3 linked regions of the Lepisosteus oculatus genome follow. The protein of the gene in region 3 purifies or fractionates together with the protein of the main gene of each other region. This does not show direct contact. Links are inferred from orthologs where the notes say so. Each region holds a gene or a part of one and is shown on either strand. Other genes may lie near its edges.

Evidence for each region.
Region 1: the proteins of transducin-like enhancer protein 1 (region 3) and foxg1a purify together in Homo sapiens (affinity purification with western blotting; 3 studies listed by BioGRID and IntAct, with this or other methods). This does not show direct contact. The link is inferred for Lepisosteus oculatus from reciprocal best matches to the Homo sapiens genes TLE1 and FOXG1.
Region 2: the proteins of transducin-like enhancer protein 1 (region 3) and her6 purify together in Homo sapiens (affinity purification with western blotting; 4 studies listed by BioGRID and IntAct, with this or other methods). This does not show direct contact. The link is inferred for Lepisosteus oculatus from reciprocal best matches to the Homo sapiens genes TLE1 and HES1.

Annotation. Positions count from the first base shown.
Region 1 is NC_090703.1:5,959,525-5,967,189, forward strand, and holds the start of foxg1a (forkhead box protein G1), read right to left. Parts: upstream 3,029-7,665; 5' UTR 2,940-3,028; exon of another isoform or gene 2,918-2,939; intron 2,782-2,917; exon of another isoform or gene 2,239-2,781; intron 1-2,238. UniProt on the Homo sapiens protein: Transcription repression factor which plays an important role in the establishment of the regional subdivision of the developing brain and in the development of the telencephalon.
Region 2 is NC_090708.1:9,265,744-9,273,228, forward strand, and holds her6 (hairy-related 6), read right to left. Parts: upstream 2,725-7,485; 5' UTR 2,355-2,724; coding exon 2,247-2,354; intron 2,127-2,246; coding exon 2,031-2,126; intron 1,832-2,030; coding exon 1,744-1,831; intron 1,368-1,743; coding exon 868-1,367; 3' UTR 564-867; downstream 1-563. UniProt on the Homo sapiens protein: Transcriptional repressor of genes that require a bHLH protein for their transcription. May act as a negative regulator of myogenesis by inhibiting the functions of MYOD1 and ASH1.
Region 3 is NC_090698.1:60,295,408-60,302,726, forward strand, and holds the start of transducin-like enhancer protein 1, read right to left. Parts: upstream 3,052-7,319; 5' UTR 2,417-3,051; exon of another isoform or gene 2,320-2,416; 5' UTR 2,261-2,319; coding exon 2,237-2,260; intron 1,714-2,236; coding exon 1,613-1,713; intron 304-1,612; coding exon 240-303; intron 48-239; coding exon 3-47; intron 1-2. UniProt on the Homo sapiens protein: Transcriptional corepressor that binds to a number of transcription factors. Inhibits NF-kappa-B-regulated gene expression. Inhibits the transcriptional activation mediated by FOXA2, and by CTNNB1 and TCF family members in Wnt signaling.

The sequences.
Region 1 (7,665 bases), on a different chromosome or scaffold from region 3:
CGGAACTCCCTTAAATGTTCAAAGATAATCTTTCTGCTTTATATTACAGGTACCAGAGAAAATGAATACCGGGCTTTTCTACTAAGTAGCTGGAAAACCACAAAATCTCATCCCTGCAGACAACCTGCAGTGTTCAAACCTCGGATACGAACTGAGTGATAGGTTTTAACAAAAAGAAATATGACTGATCGAAACAAATCACATGCGGTATTTCGTCATTTGTCATATAGCTGAACAGTAGGTCGCAAACTGCCCCTGCATTCTGATAGTGTTTTGTGATTATTGGCTGATACCGTTTAACATAATAATTGTAAAATATCTAACTATGATTAGCATCAGACATAATGCACTCCGGACTCGAGAAAAACAACAATTCATTATTTAACCAAACCTGGAAAATTGACATTGCAAGTCCGATAAGAAATCTTTCAGTGCTGTAAACTAAGTGATTTCGAGTTACTGTTTCCGCCGGTCTCTCCTAACTACAGCCTGCGGTATGCCGCTAAATTATTGTTTGTTGCCGGAAACGAATGTTTAAAAATATATCAACAGCAAAGATACAAACATCTGATGAAGAAGAGGCTTGTCCACAGAACACTACGCTAGGCACGACTATTCCTCGGTTTCTGCAATATCTTGTTAAACGTGTATACTCTACACAGCCTTGTGTTAGAGTAACCAGGTTTTGAATGGTTATTTCTAGGTAGATGGACCATGACTCGTCCTTTTAAAACAAACATAGAGCAGATCGCAACAGAACTTAACGGTCGTTCACGTGGAGTACAATAAACATACAATATTTGTAATTCGAAATGCAGAATTAATTTGCCCTAAAACACCGTCTGGCGACAGAAGTTCTTGGTAACCACAGTATTGAAAAACTAATATGTCCCCGGGGTCCTCTTGTGGCTTTTTTTCTTCATTTTGGAAAGACTGATATTCGCAATTATTTTCGCCTTTATTTGCTTCTTCGTCTTTCGTGTCCCTTGTTAATTCCTCTACAACTTGTTTACTGTTTTCTCAGATCAATGGTGTATTACACGTTCCCTGTATGAGCCTATATTATATGGAATCTATACTTCTCTTTACACATCAACACAATACTGATGTTCACGATAAATCCGCATAGGCACATACAACAGAACAACTCAATATTTACCACTAATTGAATTATGCATATGTTCATAATGTGCATCGTGATCTATGTCTAAAAATATTGAGAATAATATACACCCAAATAAAAAGGGTTATTATTGTCCCAATATTGTCCAAAAAGGCTAATATGCAGTAAATCTTATCCACAATGGCTATTTTTTTAAATAAAATGTTTGGTAAAATATATTCACTTTTAAAATAAATTCACAATTTAAAGAAATTATAGGCGACATGTTAAAAAGTTTATTTTCAGTTATTGGACAACTTCACACGTGGTTTGTTTTCAAGCAGCCACGTATTCCTTTACAGTAAACCTGAGAATACTGATCAGATAATTACATTAATTGCTTGGAAGATTATAATTGGCGTTAAAGCACTAATAGAGTTACACTGTGTATGAGGTGTGTGTCCCATGGTAAATATTTAAATTGAGCAGCTTGTCTAGACTTGCTCCTGTTTTAAACCTTAAGATACAAAACAAAAACATTACATAAAAACAGTATAACTACTAATACCGCGCAGTTCAATCAACCGTCTTTGAGCACTTTGTTGTAAGGCGTGAGTAATTATAAAAACGCGTTGTGTGGTTTGTCTTGATATAAACTAGGCTTGGCAAGAGAGTAAATTTAAATATGGTCATATATTAAAATGATTATTTGCTACAATTTGCTGAAGGGACTTTCTATATTTGCAATAGTATACATTACTTTAAGGACGGAAAAAAAGAAAAAACATAACTGCAATTTTAAAACATTACGAAACCATAAATACAAATTGTCGCAGCTAAGATATATAATTCAAACTAATTACAGAAAATTGTTCTAAAGCTCAGAACAATGACGAACCATTATGTCTTTTTAAGACTGACAAGCACAATTACTCTAAAATACCGAACGTTGTTGAATATATAATTGATTATAATCGTGTTACTGTTTGAATAAAGATGACGGAAGCGTTTAACGCTGACAACAAAATGTTTATAAATACGCTATTTATTCAAACAGAGCCATGATTCACTGCAGGGGCACACATACTTTGTGTATGGAAATCAGAGATGTTATGTGGAGATGGAAACAGGGCTACCTGGAGACTTTGCAGCGCCTGGTTTCAGGGCCTTTGGGAAGCAGGTTCTCCTCAGCGCTGTCGGGGCAGCGCCCTCTAGTGGTAGATGCAGCGCTGGTTTGCGGCGCTCCGAAAGGCTGGCGAAGCGCTTTCCCCGAGTAAAAACACCCCTAAAACACCGCACTTGACAAATACAACAAACTAGCGCCCTGTTATTTAAACCGGAGCCTCGTTGCTGCAACATTCAATCGTTAACGTAAGAATACAGTTTTGCCCCCGGGCTAAATGTGTAGCGCAGCCCGCTTTGGGGTTGAAACCGGTCGGCAGGAAACCGCAGTGAAGTCATACAGTAACTGTACAAAACGTCGCCGTTTTAAGAAAAAATATTGTATTGTCGTCCGCGAACAAGCTAACGCTTTGTTCAAGTTCGCGTATCAGAGACAGTTCACCGTGTGACGCGTGTAACTGTATCACCAGAGTCTGAGAAGTTCCCGAAAATTACGCCTCATAACTTTTGCCGTACGTGAAGAAAAACATTCATTTCACATACAAAAAAAACAAAACAACAACAAACAACAACAACAACCCCATCATATATAACATCCAATATCCTACGTTCAAACGGGGTCAACGGAGGGGTGTCAGAATCTACGAACGACACACCTCTAAGAAAAAGCAGTTTGGTTGAAATACCACAAACCTTTCGTCCCCGTCCCCAATACCTTATTGCGGCCACTTGTTCTGAACGATTTCACAACCCCGGTACAAGGCGAATACCCCCCTCCAATTTCAAGAGAAGCGGCCGAAAGCGATGATAAAAAATTCGTCGCCAACCGGCAGACCTCTCGCGTGCGCCCTCCCCTCCCCACCCGCGAGAGCCCGGGCTTCCTCGAGCGCGCAGGCAGCGCAGCGCAGCCGGGCGGTGCGGGAGCGCGAGCTCCCCGGAAACCGACTCCCACCGTTACCTTGGCAAGCCGCGCGACCGAGCCCGGGCGCTCCGCCGCACCAAGGCCGGCGCTGGAGGTTTCGGGGCCTCTCAAGCACAGGTCTCGGCGGGGGCTGGTAACCACACTCTCTGGCTGTAAAAGCCTTCCCCCGTTAACCTAGCTAAACTTGAACGACCCTTTTGACTGTTTTCTATGTACTGGTTGTCTAAAGTAAGCGGAACTTCAAAGTCACAGTAGCCAAACAGCCTTACTCTGCGCCCACTCCAACCTGTACCCCTATGCCCGCTGTAATATCAACTGCCTTAGCACATTAAATTCATTTCCGCGCTAACACAGATTTGTGCGATGAATGTGGAGCGTCTCAACCTAAAACGTTAACTTAGGCACGTCAATACAAACATTCCAACAAGCGTCTTAATTCCAGAAATAAACTACAACCCTGCCCTACACTGGAAACAATCTTGTCTTTAATTCTGGCAAAGGAAAACAGGTTTAAATTCCCATCTTGTTATTGTCACCTAGATAGTATATCAACAAAAAACACAATGAAAGTCTTCCGCTATTCTCTAAACATCAAAACTATTGTCATTTTTTTTGCGTGAAATCGATCACAACCTTTTAAGTATATTTCTACAATTTTCTAAATAGGATGCACATTTAATGAATAACAAATTCTTCTATGTTTTATTCGCTATTAGAGAACACTAAGAAATATTTCTGAAGATCATTTTGTGAATTTCTTTGAGGAGTATTCATTCCACGCTAATTGAAAAACGAACAAATCCCAGGAACAAGTTCAGGTTTTTCAGCCAAAACACTATCGCAATTTAAGAAAATAAACACAATTATCTAAAGATTATCAGTCTAATCTTGAAACATGAGCTGTGTGAGTTGGAATTGTTTATGAAAAAAATATCCACATCCAGTATGTGATTGAGATCTGCGTCGTTTTGTATTTGCATCTCTATGTGTAGCCTTGGCATTTCTTTGCATAAAATAGTTGAAGCCACAGAATCAAATCTATTAAGTTTATTGCTCTGTTTGAACCTCCTTTAACACACATGAAGGACTTCCTACTCATTAATGCTAACAAGGACTCATGCCGACCAAACAGCTTACTTGATAACATCTCATTATTATTATTATTATTATTATTATTATTATTATTATTATTATTATTAATGACGTTTAAAACGTGGACGTTTTCGGAGTTTTAGGGTGTTCGTTTACACCATTTATAGGATTATAGGGAATTACATTCTTATAGCAACCTTGCATTTCACATGAAACTCGCCACAGTGCGTTTACTTTTACAGAACACTGGCGAAGAGTCGTATGAAGTTATTTTTCATTTGACAGAGGGGTACAATTGTTCCGATTTTCAGTGGGGAAAAGTTCAGGATTTGAAATAACGAACTATTAATGTATTTCTAAAAAAAATCGATCGTCTTACCTCGATCTCAATAGTTTATTTATACAAATTGGAAATATAACACATATCTGTCGAATTGGAAATTAATCTGCACATTAGAACTATATTTAAGCTGTTTGCCTGTAATACAAATCTAATAATTCTTCTTTATGGAGAAAAGTAGAGGAAATACCACGTGGATTTTCAGACACGTAAGAAAAACCTGAACTAATATGTGGCATTAGGCATTTCGAAAATAACGGAGAAAGAAATACTTAGGTCTAGTTTTGTTACACATTGAATGAACAACATTTTCTAAAAAAAATAAATTAACCGAGAAATGCAAATACACTATTTTCAGCACACGTATTTAACAATAAGACCATATTTATTTATTAAAAACAAACTTTTTACTATTGTTATAACAGAGGCTCATCTGTAACTAGTCGGCCCTTTATTCGTAACAACAATGAAACAGGAATTAACCAGAAGGCAGAAATGTGATGCACAAATGTATTTCTGTGTCGTCTAATTACTGATGATAATTAATTGGAGATGGAATGGGGAGTTTTGAACAGCTTGGAGTTGGGGTCAATTAAACGAACAAAGGGGAAATTCTAGGGGTTGATGTTCAAGACTGAAAAAATACATACAAAGACGCCTATTCTACCTGGTAAAAATACGGCCAGCTCTGTTATTGTAAAAAGAAAAAGAAACCTTTCTTTAACAGTTGTAAAACAGAATAGAAATACTGAAACCTGATACACAACAGACAACAGGGAATGTTGAAAAAATGAAATACTGGGTAGTCTTAAACTGACCTTAAAGTACAAATTATCTGACATCCAAATCTACCACGAGGAGTATAAAGGTCTTGTGGAATCTAGCGGTAATTTGGCGCCACCGCGTGGCCACTAATTTAACCAGCCACAATTCTGCTTTAAATTCTTAATCGGGCGAGATAAAGGCTTTATAATCTTGGCCTAACTGAACTCTTGAAATAACAAGTCAACCTTGACTTACTTGTTATCGTTATTTTTCAGCCTCTAAAAATCTCAAAACACCAGTCATTTTTTGGTTGACAAAATCCGAACTGAAAACTTCAAAACGATTAAACTGAGGGTTCCGTTTAGAAACTACAAGAGAAAATAAATATTTCAATTGGTGTATGATCACAAATCTAATATGTTACATAAACAAAACAAACCTAAACTTCTAAGTATTATTTACAAAGATTTCCTATTACATAAGTATTATTTACGAAGTAAACTTCATATTGCATGATTTTAGATTGTTGTAATTTTAATATATTATGCAAAAGTAGTGCATTTCTTAAACCTTTACCCTTGCTGTAAATGCCTACCTAAAACTTTAGTTTGCGAGAAATCATATTTCAACGCTTCCGAAAATACGATCTAACGGATTCAGTCCAAATTCTTAGATTCAATATAGAGCTTAGAGCTCACGCCCGCGTATTGTACTTCTAAGGCTTAAAATTCATTTGACATTCTTTACGGAGAATTGCTCTTAAGGCTAAAATGTTTGAAAAACACAATTTCAGCTAAAGTCCAGCAAGTCGGCGTTACAGAACTGTACTGTGTACAAGAGAATTAAAATACGAGTCCTTATAAGGAAAAAAACAAATATATACATCAAACGGTGCATTTCAGTGATATGTCAGACAATTTGCCGCAAAGCAAAATAAATTATTTAATAATTAAACAAGTCATATCCAGCAGACTCTGAGCATATTTAAATATGTGTTTCAAAGGTATGGGGACGTAACATATTGATAATTTGTGTAAAAAGGTGTCATTAAACGAAACAATCAAGTGTTACACAGTTTAAATAACAGAACCTACTTCAATATCTTGTGGGGACTCAAATCATCACAAGAGCCGACTGTGAAGCGAAAAACCATCAGACAAGCCGGAGGCGCTGCTAGTATGGGAAAAAATGTGGAATAAATACTATGCTACTATGGGAATAAATATGGACATAATACCTCTTATATTTAGAACAAACCATTCCCTGTTTTTGTTAAAATTTGTAACAACTGTTTGTCCGAGATCGTGTTGCTTCAGAGGAACAGAAACTTGATTAATTTTCCCGATTTCAATGTTGACAACTCGAGATTAGATCCACCTACCGTACAAGCTTTTTCGTTATCACGAGCTGCAGTACAAGCGTTTCATCTTTAGAAGACAAAACCGTTAATTTGCTTTTCGGTTCAACTGAGCATACTGTATACTGACTTGTCCATACGTTACGTCCCTTTTTATCAGTAGATTGGTTTTGTACATTCACACGCCAGAATATCCCAGTCAAGCAGTATTAAATATTTCAGCTGTGTTGTGTGTCCCGCCTTTTATGAAACAATCTCCCAGATGTACACACTTACTCAATTATAATTAATTGTAACTAAATAAATAAACTGACGGAATTCAGTTCAGGTTCCGAAGCGAGAAGATCAAAACGGGCTTTTAGTACCTTCAGGGGCCTTTTCAATACACGATTGAAAACAGACCCATTAGGACTGCCTAGTGTAGAGAACTCCATCGGTCTGGTTTCTAGTGCCGCTCCTAACGCACCACAGTATATTATATTGTTCTTTGACTCGGGTCATGCGACCGAAAATGTATCGAAATAAGACCTTAACTTTAAAAAAGGAAAAGTCAGCACCATAATTAAATATTTAACAATAACAACGCATATTTAATTTAAAACGACCGGCACTAACACCCCAAAGCACAAAGCAACCACAGGAATAAAGTCTCGTAGGTATTAACACATATTTCAGGCGTTTGTTTTGTTTCTTTTGTTTTTTTTCTATTTCCCCTTGTTTTCCTTGCTGCACCATGCGATCCTGATCTCAGATTAGGCAAAATCTTTTGTTTTGTTTCGAAAGGACTTTTATTACCGAGTACAAAATAAACAAACCCTAATAAGTGGCCATAACTCGTCTTGAAAAAAATGAACAAAACATTTTTGTCTGACCTTCTGCGCAAATATTTCGGGGGCAAACTCCGCCACACAGGGTTTCGAAACTATCAGTCAGCGACATCGATAATTTCTCCTAACCACAAATCG
Region 2 (7,485 bases), on a different chromosome or scaffold from region 3:
GCTTTTTGGACTTTTGCTATTGCACATATCTAAATATGTTGGTAGGTCTGATATTTTTCACACTAATGGAAACGTTCAGGAGACGTTATTAGTCCCTAAAAAATGTGCAGTTGTGGCTCGACTCGTGTGTTCAGGGGTCACGTCGCCGTGTAGTTACAGGCACTGACCGGAGCTCACTTCACTCGCCTTCGGGTTTAGCGAGTTTCTGCGGGGAAGGCGACTGTGCAGTAAAATTTGAGAAGCAGCAATAAATCACCCTACCACTTTCAGGGCGATACTAATTCCAAACGACCTGTTGCTGCGCAGTTTGGGTTTTCCCCAACTTCTAACCGAGGATCTCCAGAAGCAGAATGATTTGAACTCCCTGTACCCTCAAGCATGCCTCACAGACCTTTAAAGGCTTCATCGACATTATGCGGTGACCTACAAGTAAAAAAGGCTTCGGCCATTCCAACTAGTTAGCGGAGCAGCGTTAGGAAGTGGGGAGGTATTTATCATTAAATAAGGATTCTCAAGCTCAGGGCAGCAAAGTGTGCAAAGAGACACAACAACTGCGTTTTAGATCGGTTTTAAAAATTTATTTAGATCTTCCAAAAGGAAGACACGTTCTTAAGAGCATTCAACATATCTTTGGCATCACATAATAAAAAGACACCTCGAATATAAAATGCAGTTCAATAAACTGACTTTACAAAACATTTCAATATGAACTTTCCCTCATATATAATATATACAAATATAGTGCATACTCTTCACTTGAATACACTTTCATACAAAAAATAGGCATCTAAACAAGAAGAAACCAGTTCTTTTGCTATTACGTGTAAAGAACAAAAAAAGTCTTTTCTTTTTTTCGCACAGCGCTTTCTACCATGGTCTCCACACCGAGTCAGCCGTGACCGAAGGCGCGCCCGGGGACACAGCCGGTACCGGCGTGCCGACGTTATTGGCATACACGGGGATAACTGGTCCGTTAGGGGCAAAGGCTGCGTTAGGGATCAAAAAGGCGAACTGTCCATCCGTAGCCGGTACAAGCTGGAAGCCGCCGTACACCTTCGTCGCCTCCGCCGGTAAGCTGCCCGCATGGCCACCCTTGCAAGGCGGGCCGTTCAGGGGCGAGGCGCCGGGGAGCGGGACCAGGGGCTGGCCGAACGCCGGGTGCGGTGGGCCGGCGGGGATCTGCGGCTGCGTGGGGTAGTTCATGGCGTTGATCTGCGACATGCAGCTGGCGAGGTGGCCCAGGAGCCGTGTCCTGACCTCGGTGTTAACCCCTTCGCAGGTGGACAGGAACCGCGTCACCTCGTTCATGCACTCGCTGAACCCTGCGCGGTACTTTCCGAGGACGGTGGGGTCAGTGTTCAAAGCAGCTACAGGAAGAAGGCACAGCCAGCATTAGTCGGGCTCGTCCACCAAGTCAAGAGGCGCGTCGCCAAACCGCGAAACGAGTAGCCGGTGAAGTGTCACAAGTGTCAGAACACCGCCTCAGCCGGAGCATCGGAGATGTTGGCGGAGTTTGAACCCCCCCCCACAAAAAAACACATTTTAATTCTTATCCACCCTCTCTCTCTGCCTCCCGGAACTACCACAAGATGTGTCTATAAATAATTCCAGACCGTGGGAACAGAGCTATGAGCCAAGTCGGTAAAACTGCTGCCGAATACCAGCTAAACCGCAGACGGAAGTCTGGAAGACATCAGCTATGAAATAATTCCAAGGATTAAACGCCGACATAAGGCAACTCACCCGTCATCTGCGCTCGCTGCAGGTTTCGAAGGTGTTTCACCGTCATTTCAAGAATGTCAGCCTTTTCCAGTTTCGAGTGTCTGGAGCTCTGCAAATCAAAAAAGATCAGAATCATTCATTGCTGCTGACCTCCGGCCGAACAGCTTAATAACACATCTCCGCCGCCTGTTCTCGGACGGAACCCGGCACACGGGTTGACTGCGCCGACAGCACTACAGTATGTCCATGCAGGAGAGGGCTGCTGGCTTGTAGCGGTTACGAAAGGGTGAGGAGGACGGAATCCTTACATCTTTCTTGAGTGCGTCCAAGATGAGAGTTTTCAGCTGGCCCAGGCTTTCGTTGATCCTCGCTCTCCTCCTTTTCTCCATAATCGGTTTCGAGGACTAAAAAAAAAAAGGGAGAAAAACGACACGTTGAACCCGGAGGACCCGCACCGTCAGAAGTGACAAGATTGCTGTGCTCGCTAGATACTCGGGTATCGGGGCGGTATGCGTGATAGTTACCTTCCTGTGCTCGGAAGCAGTCTTGGGTTTATCTGGCGTCGTGTTCATGCTCGCCGGGGTGGCCGCCACTGGCGATGAGGATGTTTTCTCCATCATGTCGGCTGGCATCTTCGCTTGGCAAATATCCCACAAACCTTTGGGCCGCTGTCAGAACCTGGTGAATTCCCCCTCCTGTAGTTGCCAGATGTGCTGGGCTTTTTTTTTTGTTATTAAAAAAAACGTTGCTTCTTCGAGTTAAGTTTTATACGTCTTCTTTTAAATACAAAATCCCCCAGTTTTGTTTGTTTTTTTTTCCAGACAGAATCCTCGTCTTGGGTTGGAAAGTACACAAAAAAAATGCTTGTCATACACCTTTATCAATGCGCGGTACCGTTTATCAGAGCGGCAGTGAGGCGCTATAGCTGGCTCTGAGCTTACTGTCAGACTGTCAACGTTGTGAGCGTCCAGCCCAACGTCGTGCAGGTCTTATTTATATCTGAGACTGCACGCGAACGGCTCGTGTGAAACTTCCCAAACTTTCTTTCCCACAGTAACTTTCTACCAATCAGCGTGAGGGACACGCGGCCCGAGGGGAGGACGGCTCGTGGACAGCGCCCCGCCATTGGCTGCGCGGCGCGGGGACGGGCGGCCAATGGCGCGCGGCTGGGCTCAGGCCAACACGGGCCCTGCGCAGTCAATCACCCCGGTTCACAAATTAACGCTTTCGGCTCTAGGGCCCTGCGAGGCGGTCGCATGCTGCACACTGTCGAAGGGTGATTTTTTTATGGCTTAAACTTGGCATGGCGTAATGTCCCCTGAAAAAAAAAAACCTGACGCTAATTATCGCAAAACGGCAATAAAATGCCCTAAAGGGAACGGAATATCCGCTTTAATTAAAGAGGCCTGTCTTATGCGTTGGCATTGTTGGTTTTCGTTTATAGATGGTTCTTAGAGCACTACTTTGTTTTAAAGAGTATAAGCCTTCTGTACTTAAATTGTATTTATGCACAGATCGCAGTTCAATAAAATGAACACGCCGCGCATTTAATAATAGTAGTAATCGTTGCAGAATGAGTAATAAACTCTAGTGCTCTTTGTTTTAATTATCGCATAGTTGTCCTGTAATGTATTTGCATCGGCGCTTATATTTTTTGAATAAAGAATTGTTCCGAATTGCTTCAATTTTAGATACGGTGCTTGCAGACGATATTAGGTTTTGGACTGCTAAAAGTAGCAGTTTTATGCCAATTGAATATTTAAAAAACGACTTTTGCATTCGACTTCGCTTGTAAGGCGAATGGTGATACTTCCCAAATGAAAATATTAACATTTAGATAAATGTGTGGTTTGTAACATAAAAACAATATTTGCTATAAAAATGCTGCTTTTTATCTTTCTGCTTTAGGGCAGTTGGTAACATTTTAAAAAGTTATAAAGTTTTTTTTTTGAAGTGCAATGGTTCTTCTTTTCAAGAGAAAAAAAAACTTCTTATTTTTATTTTTCTCACGATCTTTGCCTAAAATATGTATAAAAAAGAGACTAAATAAAAATTCGGGAAGCGGGATAAAGGGGTCGGGGGGAGATTCATTTGAATGAATTTCGGGACCAAACAAATTCAACTTTTAAAACGGAAGAAAAAACGAAAATCAAACAACTGCTTGATTTCGACGGCCCCGGTGCCTACGGTATGCATCTCTCTCTCTCTCCAGTAGTGTTGATCCGCGCCGGCGCTGTGTCTTTAAAGCGCAGCGCAGCGCAAGCCTGGCAGTTTGACATCTGTCGGCATGCGAGCGCTATTGTGAATGTGGAGCACGTGCCAGGATGTTTTACTGCGCGCTGTGGTTGAGGTTTGGCTGCCGGGCTGGGGGTGGCGGTGGAGGTTTATATTAGAGGGAAGGTAAATAGCAGCTGCTGTGTTAAAGCCTGGGAAAACCACGCCCACTGCGATCTGGATCGGGCTCATTGGAATGCGAGCCAGTCCGGAGTTATTTCTCCGCGCGCCGGAGCGCCGAGGGGTGAGGCCCGCAGTACCTCCTGCGGGGGAGCGGGGGCGCTCGGTAGTCATTTTGGTCTTCTGTAGCGGTCTAATTTTGACATCTGTGGTGCATCAAATAAAGCTTTTATACGTGGTTAATACAACGCCGACAGTGGCACCAATAAAGGGCATGGTTAGGGCTTAGAACTGTAAATTAAACTTCGCAGCCTTTCATATTTTAATGTTGTTCACGGACATTTCTGGAAGTGATTTTTAACAATTCCCCGTTTTTAATTCCAGAAAGCCCAGAAGTGCGACCTCACTGAAATGTTACCAAAATAAGTAAAAAAAAATAAGGAACTGAAACGTCTGTTTTTTTAGGAAAAGGGTAAATTATTTTGCTTTCGATTGTGGTCGATTTCCAAATGGTAAGAGACCTTAATTATTTTATTATGGGTTTGATTTTACTTAATCTAAAGGCTGCATAAAGTCATATATTTAAACCTGCAAGGGAGAGCATGTCTTTCTTCAAAGTACCGCATGCATTTTGGGGATAAACTAAGAATAAAGTTTACATGTAGTATATAGAGTAATATATGTAATATATATGCTTATCCTTTAATAAACAAAGCTATAGGCTGCTCTTATTTTTAATTATATATGTGCATTTCAATAGAGTCCTGATACCCTTAAATTCTATTCTGATGACGTGAAGAAATCCAAGTAGTGGATTCTTTTCTCTGGGCTGCAATTAATGAAGTTGATGTGTTGTACAGTCTGCAGATATCGCACGCTGTGTGTGCTTTCGGGGCAAATGCGGCTCATTTAGTTATTACCTCCCTGCAAACTGTGATATCAACTGTCATTTCCTCTGTGGAAGGTGTGTTCTGTGTGCTTTGTGGACTGAGCGGCACCGTTTACCTGCTTGTGTACGTATGGTGTGTGTGTGGGGGGGGTGGGGTGGTGTTTGCCCCTCCGCCCCGTGCTACCTTAACAGCGCTCCGACACACACAGTTGCTGCGCGCTCTCCAGCTGCTGTGGACCCCGCGACGCGTGGCGGGCGAGCGACCGGGGGAAGGCGCCTGCTCTGCCGGCTTGCAGCCCGCAGCTGCGGGAGGCTGTACTGGCTGCTGCGCGGAGATGGCGGATTTGATTGGAGCCTGGAGCGCGCGCGCTGTCCCCCCCCCTTCAGCGATCTCCTCCAGCCCTTTGAGTGGCTTCGGATCATTCTCCACAGACTTTTCCCTCCAAAAAACAACAACAACAACAACAACAAAAAGACGAGCGACCCAAAGTTTTGGGTCGTGCTTTTACTTTTCTTTCTGTGTCGCTTCTATCGTGTCGTCACTCCCCCCCCCGGCGTACTTTGCCGTAACAATTTATGAAAGCGAAAGCATTTTAATATAACCGAACGAGTTTATACGTTATGGTTAGCAACACAGAGCGGCTTAATTAAAGTTTTTCAGGGGTCATTCGTGTGTTGAAAAGGATAGGAGGTGAAGCATAAACAACATTACATTAGTTTCCAGTTTCGTGCAGCGTACTGTATAAACATAATGAACTAGCCACATTCATTGGCCGGGAGTCACCGAAGTTTAGAGTTGAATCGCCAGACTTTTAAAAATCCCAAGATATATGAACGATCCCTTCGGCCGCTGGAGTTGTTTCATGGTCCGTATCTAGAATACAGATCCCAGGATAATTTGCACGAGGGGGAGAGGCTAAAGGGCTTAAAAGTTATGCGGAGCAAGTTTATTTTCCTCATTTAATCCTTTTACCAAGATCATTTTTCCCCCCAACTGTTTTCGTGTAATAAACGTTGTACCCTGCATCACGGGTTTAATACTGACCACATAATGGACAACACGCTGCAGAGGTTCTGACAATTCGAGGAAAAGCACATGACGCACAGTCTCAGCCCTGTCATGTTTACCGAGTAATCCACCTACTGGTTATGGCTATAGTGGAAGTGGTATTAGCAGTACATGTAATAGTAAATCGTTTTTTTTAATCGTCGAGGATTTAGGCTAAATAACTATTAAACCCCATTAACACTGATGTTGATTTCAATAAACATTTCTTTATAAAATCGCAAAACGGTATACGTCATCACTGTTATTACAGTAGAAAATGTTTTGATTTCAAGCAATTATTCTTTTAAGTCATTGTAACTTCTCAGATATTGCTGAGAAGCATATTGAACTTAGAAGCATATTGAACAAATTCAGCACTGCAGCACAAATCCCGGGAGGTTTATAATTTAAGGCTGTGTGTCTATGCCCATCAACATGTATCGTTGTTCTCTGGTGCATATTGGAAGATAGCTCTGTGTGAAAAACGATAAACGGGCAGAATGGAGAAAAAACTAGATATCTACTGTCCTGGGTAGTGGATGTAGCTTGGATGCTTTTTTTCTGGGCTGAAACACTATTTCACTGAAAATAAATATATAAAAATGAACATATATTTTGCCTCGGGTATTCAAAGCTTGTTTTCTTCTCCACTTGACTAACTTTCTCACGCTCACTTTCCCAGAGTGGAGTGGAGATTGAGTCACCGAAGCCCTCTTTCTGCCTTTCCGCTGCCTCTCTGCACACAGCTTGGTACCCCGTCTGCCCTGGGTTCAGACCAATACCATAAGCGCTACCCGATGCTTTTTTGTTGTTGTTGCTTAGAACGTTTTAGAAGTACCATTCAGTACAAGTCACACTTTCCGAAAACCTTCAGAGGATAATCAAAAGGTTTAAAAGTAAGCTACGATTTGAAAAATGTGCATGATGCAAAAGGTCTCCATTAACTACAAAGAGAGCTAAATTCATACAAACAGAAAGGAGGTGGAAGGAGGCATCCAAGCACACTGTTATCCATATCTTAAATCCAGTCCCCTGCTTACAACAGTTCTGGGCAGCCTGAAACCAAAAATGAGTTTTGGACAGATGTTAGGCCAGTTCAGAAGTGCAACATAGAAGTAAACGAAGGAATGAGTGGTAACAAATATAAGAAAAAGAACTTAAGCTTCCTTGGGATTTTTGTACTTGATCTTATTCAACCATACGACACGAAAAGAATAAAAAATGGCTGAATTGAAAACAGTTGCTTGCTCTATTTATACTGACTGTTTCTTGTTCTTGGCACTGGAGGAAAGGGAAGGGAATTAAACTCGGAGGGACAGGAGCGTCTTTAATTCCTGGGCAGCCATCGGCACAAGCCCTCACATTCCATCAGTCTGCAGGAATCCCATGTTTGGCAGCTGCTGCTTAATTGCAGCTATCACATGAATCTTGC
Region 3 (7,319 bases):
ACCTGTTTATGCATTTCGATGTTGAGCCCGTAAGACATTTCATAGTACTGTGAACACATGTTAATCTTGTCAGTTTCAGAGCACACCTCACACATTTTTTCAAACATCTGTTTATGTCGTAGATTTCCACATGCACAAAAGTCAACAACCATGTAACATCACAGATTACTTTCAAACGTGTTGATTTTAAAAGGAGAAATTGGCAATCTGCACAAAAAGCCTGCGTAATAGTAACTCACCATTACATAGTGCCTCTGCATTTCTGTCTTTTCACTTGCAAGTTTTTCACATTCCAGTTTGAGACTAAAAACAAAGGTCAAATTACATGTTCAATTAAAATGTATAATAGGAAACAGTTAACAAAAATCGCATTAAGAACTGACATTACTGTAACAAGCCTGCCTTAATGAAAAAGTGCTGAATTTTGCATATTTAGTATCAACATGGGCCTAAGAAAGTTCTGTACTGAACTGCAAATTATCAAGCAATTATGCAATTAGCTTCAATTTAAAAAAAAAGTGGCATATTGCATTTACTATAAAGAGCAATTCAGATCCCAAGTCATCCTTGTTAACTTTCCAGTAATTTCACATCAAACATGCACTGTTGGTGACTGTGGCTCCCATAATGACAAGGTGTTTTTAATGCACTATAGGTAAACCATTTTAAAGTAAATTATATACATGTGGACCTCAAATTCAATCACTGACACATTTACATCAGGATCTCTGTTCAGTTCATTTTCTTTCTAGAACAAAATGTTAAAGTAGTGTATAATAAGATTGTCTCAGAAATACTGTGGCAGCATTCCACCTTCACCTAAGACATCCAGTCTTACAAATTGAGTTCAGGGTAAATGAAAATTGTTTTCTCTGAGTTCTTTTAAGCCAAAGGTAATGTCATCTATATTCAATATGACTCCATGACCACTCATACAGGTAAGTGTTTAAAAAAAATAAGATGGCAAACAAAGTAATGCTCCATTCTGGCTGTTACAGTGATTACCATTTCAATATTACTGAAAGGGAAAACATTTTGGTTCACTAATGCAGAACTAAATCACTTGACATATATAAAAAAACAAGGGCGATTATATTTGAAGTGTTGCTGCAATTTTGAGTAAATAAAATGCTTAACTGCTTACATATTGTTTCGATAAACTCCATTTTTAAGTGGTTAGGCTGACGTACCAGACTGCACACATAAGCTCCATAAAGTATATGGAGCTGCCATTACACTCCTAAGCCAAATTCCTCACAATACCATTTCAAAACACACGATAGTTAACTGTTCATGGACACCAAGAAAACAAGCCGGGATCAGAGTTAATAAAGGATGAAAAACATCGGCCTTAGAACTTTTGAAATGCAATGTAAATGTCTGTAGAGTGTATGCACACCCTAAACCACAAGGACATTTAGACAAGTCCTGTCCACAGACGGAAGGAAAGTGGTTATTTAACCTGACTACAAACGCCACCCTCTGGTTCTTCAACCTTACCACACTTTACCTACCGCAGAATGGACACAAAACAGTCAAATGTAAATAACTCGTCCGGAATTGAGATATATTCGCGCTGGCTACTGTTATGTAAATAGGAAATTGCACTAACCTGTGATATTGGGCTTGTAGAAACTGAAACTCTTCTTTTATCCGATCCAAAGACTCGGGAATTGTGAATTTAAAGGGCTGCCCAGGAGCCTGGTGCGGCGTCTGTCAAAGTAGAAATGAAATAAGGACAGCAGAATCACGGGTTTTATGTTGCCGATTTTAGTTCACAATTTTGAAAGGAAGTTTTATACGCACACGACACTACAAAAACTGAAACAAATCACAAGCGGGGCAGACAAGTCCTAGGCTGTCGTGTAGGAAAAAAGCTATAAAACGCTGCAAAGATATTGCTGTTACCAATTAAGTAAGGCAAGAACGTATCATATGCAACCCATTTAAAAAAAAAAGACTGCGCTGTGCATTTATGACTTAATCAAATGAGAAACAAAAGGAAAGCTGGAAAACCACGAAACGAATAAACTCTGGCATCAAAACGACTGAAGAGTTAGCGCATGAGCGACTGGATAGCATTAACCCGTATTATAACAACGTAGCATTCAGTGCACTGTAAAACGTTCACTTTTTGCATACAAACGAACAAATTAAAACTCGACGAATTCAGCCAGGAAAGCAAAAGCCGCGAAGTTTCCTTTTTCCCCCATTTCCTTTGTACTGTTACACTCACAGGGTGTCTGCTTTGAGGAAACATTGCTCCTTCAGCCAAGCGCCTCCTCCGGGAATCCTCAATTCTCGGTTATCTTTTAACCCCTTTCAGCAGAAATTGAGAAGCACAAGCAGGAAACTCTGAATTAGGATAAATTCATCCTGGATCCCCGAAGAAATGGGGTCGTAAAGCAAACCAAACCTCGGTGCCCCGTCCTTTTATTTCACTCCACCGTCTCCTTCGCAGAACAAAACAAGCGCTTCCTAGTCGTCGCAGGTCTGCAATTAACTTGTGTTGTACAGTGGACCTTCGTTGATTTTCGAGTTAGTCCAATAGAGAAAGCGAAAATCCCCCCAAAAATGAGAAAATCATTTGCTCACAAACAGCGAAATAAAGTCCACCCTGGAACTGTTTTTTCTTTCCCCCAATGAAACAACGTAGCGCTGGTTCCCCGAAGCGATATCCAGAAAGATCAAAAACAAAGCGAACAGGCGACACATACAAAAAGACCAAACCGAAACGTTTGTCGCAAAAGTCTCAAAAATAATGATTATTTTAAAAAAAAATAACACCTCCCTCCAAATGGCTGATGAAGTATCCCCCGCGTGTGCTGTTCCAGGATAAAATGAAAATGTTTTTTTTAGCAAAACATGGAAATGCACTTGATATTAAAAAAAACAACTAAAAAGTACTCGATAATACAACACCTAAACTATAGCTCAATAATAAAGCCGAATATTAAAACATAAAAAGTATCAATAAAAATGGAAATCTTAATAATAAGAATGACAATACAGCACCCAACCCCACTCTTCCCCACTGCTTACATTAACACGCGGTTTCACACTCCCTGAACTAACCAGATCTAGACCTGCCTCTGAAAACTCACGGCAGCCAATCAAGGTTAGATGTACACGTGGGGTCATGACGTTTCCTCTCTAACTCGCCAATAGAATCAATACGTGAGAGTTCATGCTTGTCGATTATGCTGAGATACGGTAAAGGCAACCAATGGCAGAGGAGAGAGTGCTAAATGTAAGAATGAAGGATGAGGTGGTCGGTCTGCGGGAGAGTGACAATCCTCAAATGTCAGTCAAAGTAACGTGGGACGAGTGCGAAATCCTTAAAGAGACAGAATCGGATTTTTTTTCTCCTTGTACAAACAATGCGATTTCGATTTCGTTTACACCTTGTTGATTTTGCATTCAAGGAAAAAAAAAGACCTAAAATGTTCTAGAAAATAATTAAGAACATCAGGTTTGAAAGGTAACTTAGCATATGTGTGAAGCTGGAAAGGTAACTTCTAAAGACAAAATCAACCTTGAGAAATAAAGCTTTATTAAAGATGCCTACCTATCATCTGCACACCTACAAATTTTCATTATTTTTTTTACTGTTTTAAGCGTCTGGTACACAGCATTACAGAAAATGGGCATCCCACTTCAATAAATATGTTCTTTAAAAGCTGATTGGATGTGATAATTCTGAGTCTAAAATCCCATGTGTTAGAAATGGAGTTACTGTATTTTTGTTGACTTTGCCCATAGCTTAACAGTGAATAATCTATTAATTGATCACACATATCAGACCTATAATTTTTGTATTCTATGTAATCTCTATTTCAGATTTTTAACTCTGTTCTGTCCAACCATCCAGACATTTTACTATATCTTAAAAAAAAAACAGATCATGGTAATCTACAACCTTAAAAGTTTTTATTTTTTACTGCACATGCATATAAAACAAGCATACAAAAATAGATTTTTTGTCACCCGTAAGGCATTATTTTTTAGGTTATCCTGACCTAAAAGTTGCTTTAGAACTAAAAGAGTTTTGTATTCAGAGGAAGATTTTTCACAAAACTGCATGTCTGACCATCTATATATTTAATTAAATTTGCTACAAAATCAACTGTAAAAATGTATAATTTTTCAAATAACACACCATAAGCATAACTGCAGTTAATGAAAAGAAATGTACAAAAATAATTATGTTTCCTCATTATTCAGCTTCAAATACATTTTTAAGTGCTGCTTCTTACATATAGATCAGTACTTGAACAAAGTCATACTTTGCAGTGAAACGAAAATAAAATAAGTAGAAAATGACAACATAGTAGGTAGATGGAGTAGAGGAACAGCTGACCTGTAAAACTGACATGATGTAGTGGGGTCAGAGATCATGCCAGATGCTCTTTGTGACTGTAGATCACACTGATGGAAGACAGCAGGTTATTGCTTTCACATTAGAATTCAAAGTATATGGACAGATTTCTAACTCACCTTGACAACACTGCAGTAAGACTTATGCCCTCACAAGCTGTTTTGTAATTTAAAGAATATCTCATATTAACTTCTTAACATTGCATCAACTGCACTGCTAACCAGAAACTTGTTATTTATTCCTCTAGTTAATGTAATGAATTTGTTGACTGAAACATTGGAAGTTATTGATTGCCACCTATATATTTTGTGGCTGAGGATTTTAACCTAAACTTTGTTTTAAAGATTCAGCACAGCTCTGCAAGAACAACAATGACTCAGTACAGATAATGAAGAGCCGTTTAACCATGTGGTGTTGTAATTTGTTTAAACTCCTTTACATATTGGATTCATCAAGTGATCAGTAATAAAACCTGCTAATTTCGTCCTGTGGAATAGAATTATATCAGTGGAAATGATAAAGAAATACTATTGTCCTGTTGGTCCTGAAGAATTACAAAAAGTCTCAGTTACATATGGCAACGTTAATCATTGCTAGACTGATCATCTACTCATCTTGAAGCTAAACAATAATGACTGCTGCTATTCAAAAAGAGCATAAGGAATAAGGATGGGTCAGAGGAGGCCATTCAAAGATCTTACCTATTTGATATTTAGTAACTAATTTATCTGATAATCTCATCTAGCTGTCTTTTTAAAAAAGGAGGGATATTAGCCTCAACAACATGGCTGGGTAGCTTGTTCCATTTTCCCACAGCCCTTTGTATAAAGAAGAGTCTCCTAATATTTGTTTTAAATGCATTTCTTTATATTTTTAATTGACTAGAAGGATTTGGTTGTGATATCATTTCATCATTTGCAAACAAGCTTCTGACAGAGTTCACGTAATTCTTACAGAATGCATTACTCATTGGCTTCAAATGCTGTATCCCCATTTAAATGGTCAATGATTGACAGTGCCATTATGTCTAACACATACTGTATATGCAAAATGTTGGACATAGACATATACAGTATATTGAATACAGACTACACCCATGTTCTTATATTCAATCTGGGAATTACCTGGCAAATAAGCAACATTAATTTGGCCATGGTTAATAATGACATATGCATTTACCAATCTTGTCCCACAGGTGTTGTATTGTTGCTCCAATGCAGTTGGTCAGCTCACGATATTGATCATTTTGTACACTATCATGTTGAAAGAGTGCAGTATTATCTTGACTCTGATATCGCTGTTACAGTGGCAGAACACATGTGTCATGAAATTGTGAATAAGAAGCTGTGCAGTCAGTTTACAATGGACATCAAGAAGCTGACTCCTAAATTCTGGATTAATGGCTCCCCACACCATTTGTGATTTTTCCTCTGCAAATCGGACACAGATTTAGGATTAACCCTTTTCAGACATCACTCGCCAATCCACTTAAGACTGTCAATTTGCTTCTAACTCTACACCTTTCATTACTGAAAACAACATTTTTTGCATCCTTACTCAAAATATCGCAAATGCAAGTGATCTCTGTTTTCCCCTTTATTTTTTTTTTCACAGCAGCAAAACTGTTTCAGAATAAATAATTCAATAGTATAATGCTGACATCAACACTTCAAACAGAAACTGCACAGGAAGACATTGACATTGACTTCCATTTTGGGCGTGGGGCTGGATAGAGAAAGCATCACCTGAGCATGGACAGATGGTGTGGGAAGATATTAATGCAGAGTTTAGTAGTCAGCTTCTCGATGTCCATTGTAACCTGACTATACAACTTCATGTTTACAATTTCATGACACTTGCGTTCTACCACAGCAATATCAGTGTCAAAATAATACTGCACTCTTTCATCATAAAATGTGCAACATGATCAATATCATGAACTGACCAACTGCACTGCAGCCACAATCCAACACCTGTGGGACAGGACAGGCAGTGGTAGATGCGTATGTCATCATTAACCATGGTCAAATTAATGCTGCTTATCTGGCAGTTGCTTCCCAGATTAATAATAAGATGATGGGTGTAGTCTGTACTCAATATCTCTGCCTATGTCCAAATTTATGCATACTGTATATGTGTTAGACATAATGACCCTTATGTCAACCACTGACCATTTAAATGGGGATAAAGCATTTGAATGCAATAAGTGATGCATTCCACATGAATTGTTTGAAATCTGTCAGAAGCTTGCTTGCAAATGTTGCAGATTTTGAGTCTGGACAGTACTGTTGTAGAGACACTACAATATGTTACAGCTCTGAACTGCCCGATGACTGCAATCAGGTTTATGAGTCTTTTGACACCCAATTGTGTTAGAAAGCATATTTGGCCCTCTTTGGAAGCAGTTTCTCAGGTGGTCTCACTTGAGTCATTACACCTGGTTGACCAAGCCTGGGCTGGTCACAGGTGCTTTCTTTCAGTTTGTAGCACTGCTGATGTCTAGTGATGATTGATTGATGGACTCTGAATGCCCCAGTGACTTCATGTAACAACATTGCATGTCTAAAATAAAAACACATTGCTCACCACATGCTGTCACACTGTGTACAAAAGGGAACATGAATGCTACCATTTTCTATAAGCATATTACAATGACATACTCTCACACATAGACAGGTTAATTGGATAGTGTGGCACTCTAAGTGCTGAAAATATGTGTTGCATTTGTAAAGTAACTCTCTTAATGTACAGTATGTGTCTGTTATCATAATCATCTCCATCATTATCAACTGCAGCTATTATTTATTCACTGCTTGATGAAGACCGTGCCAGGACCCTCCAATGTTCTTCTGTCTTCAGTTATCATTAAACAATCTGTTCATGCAAATTTATTGATTTCTCATGTGCATCACTATCACAGCCTTTATTGATTCATAAAGGT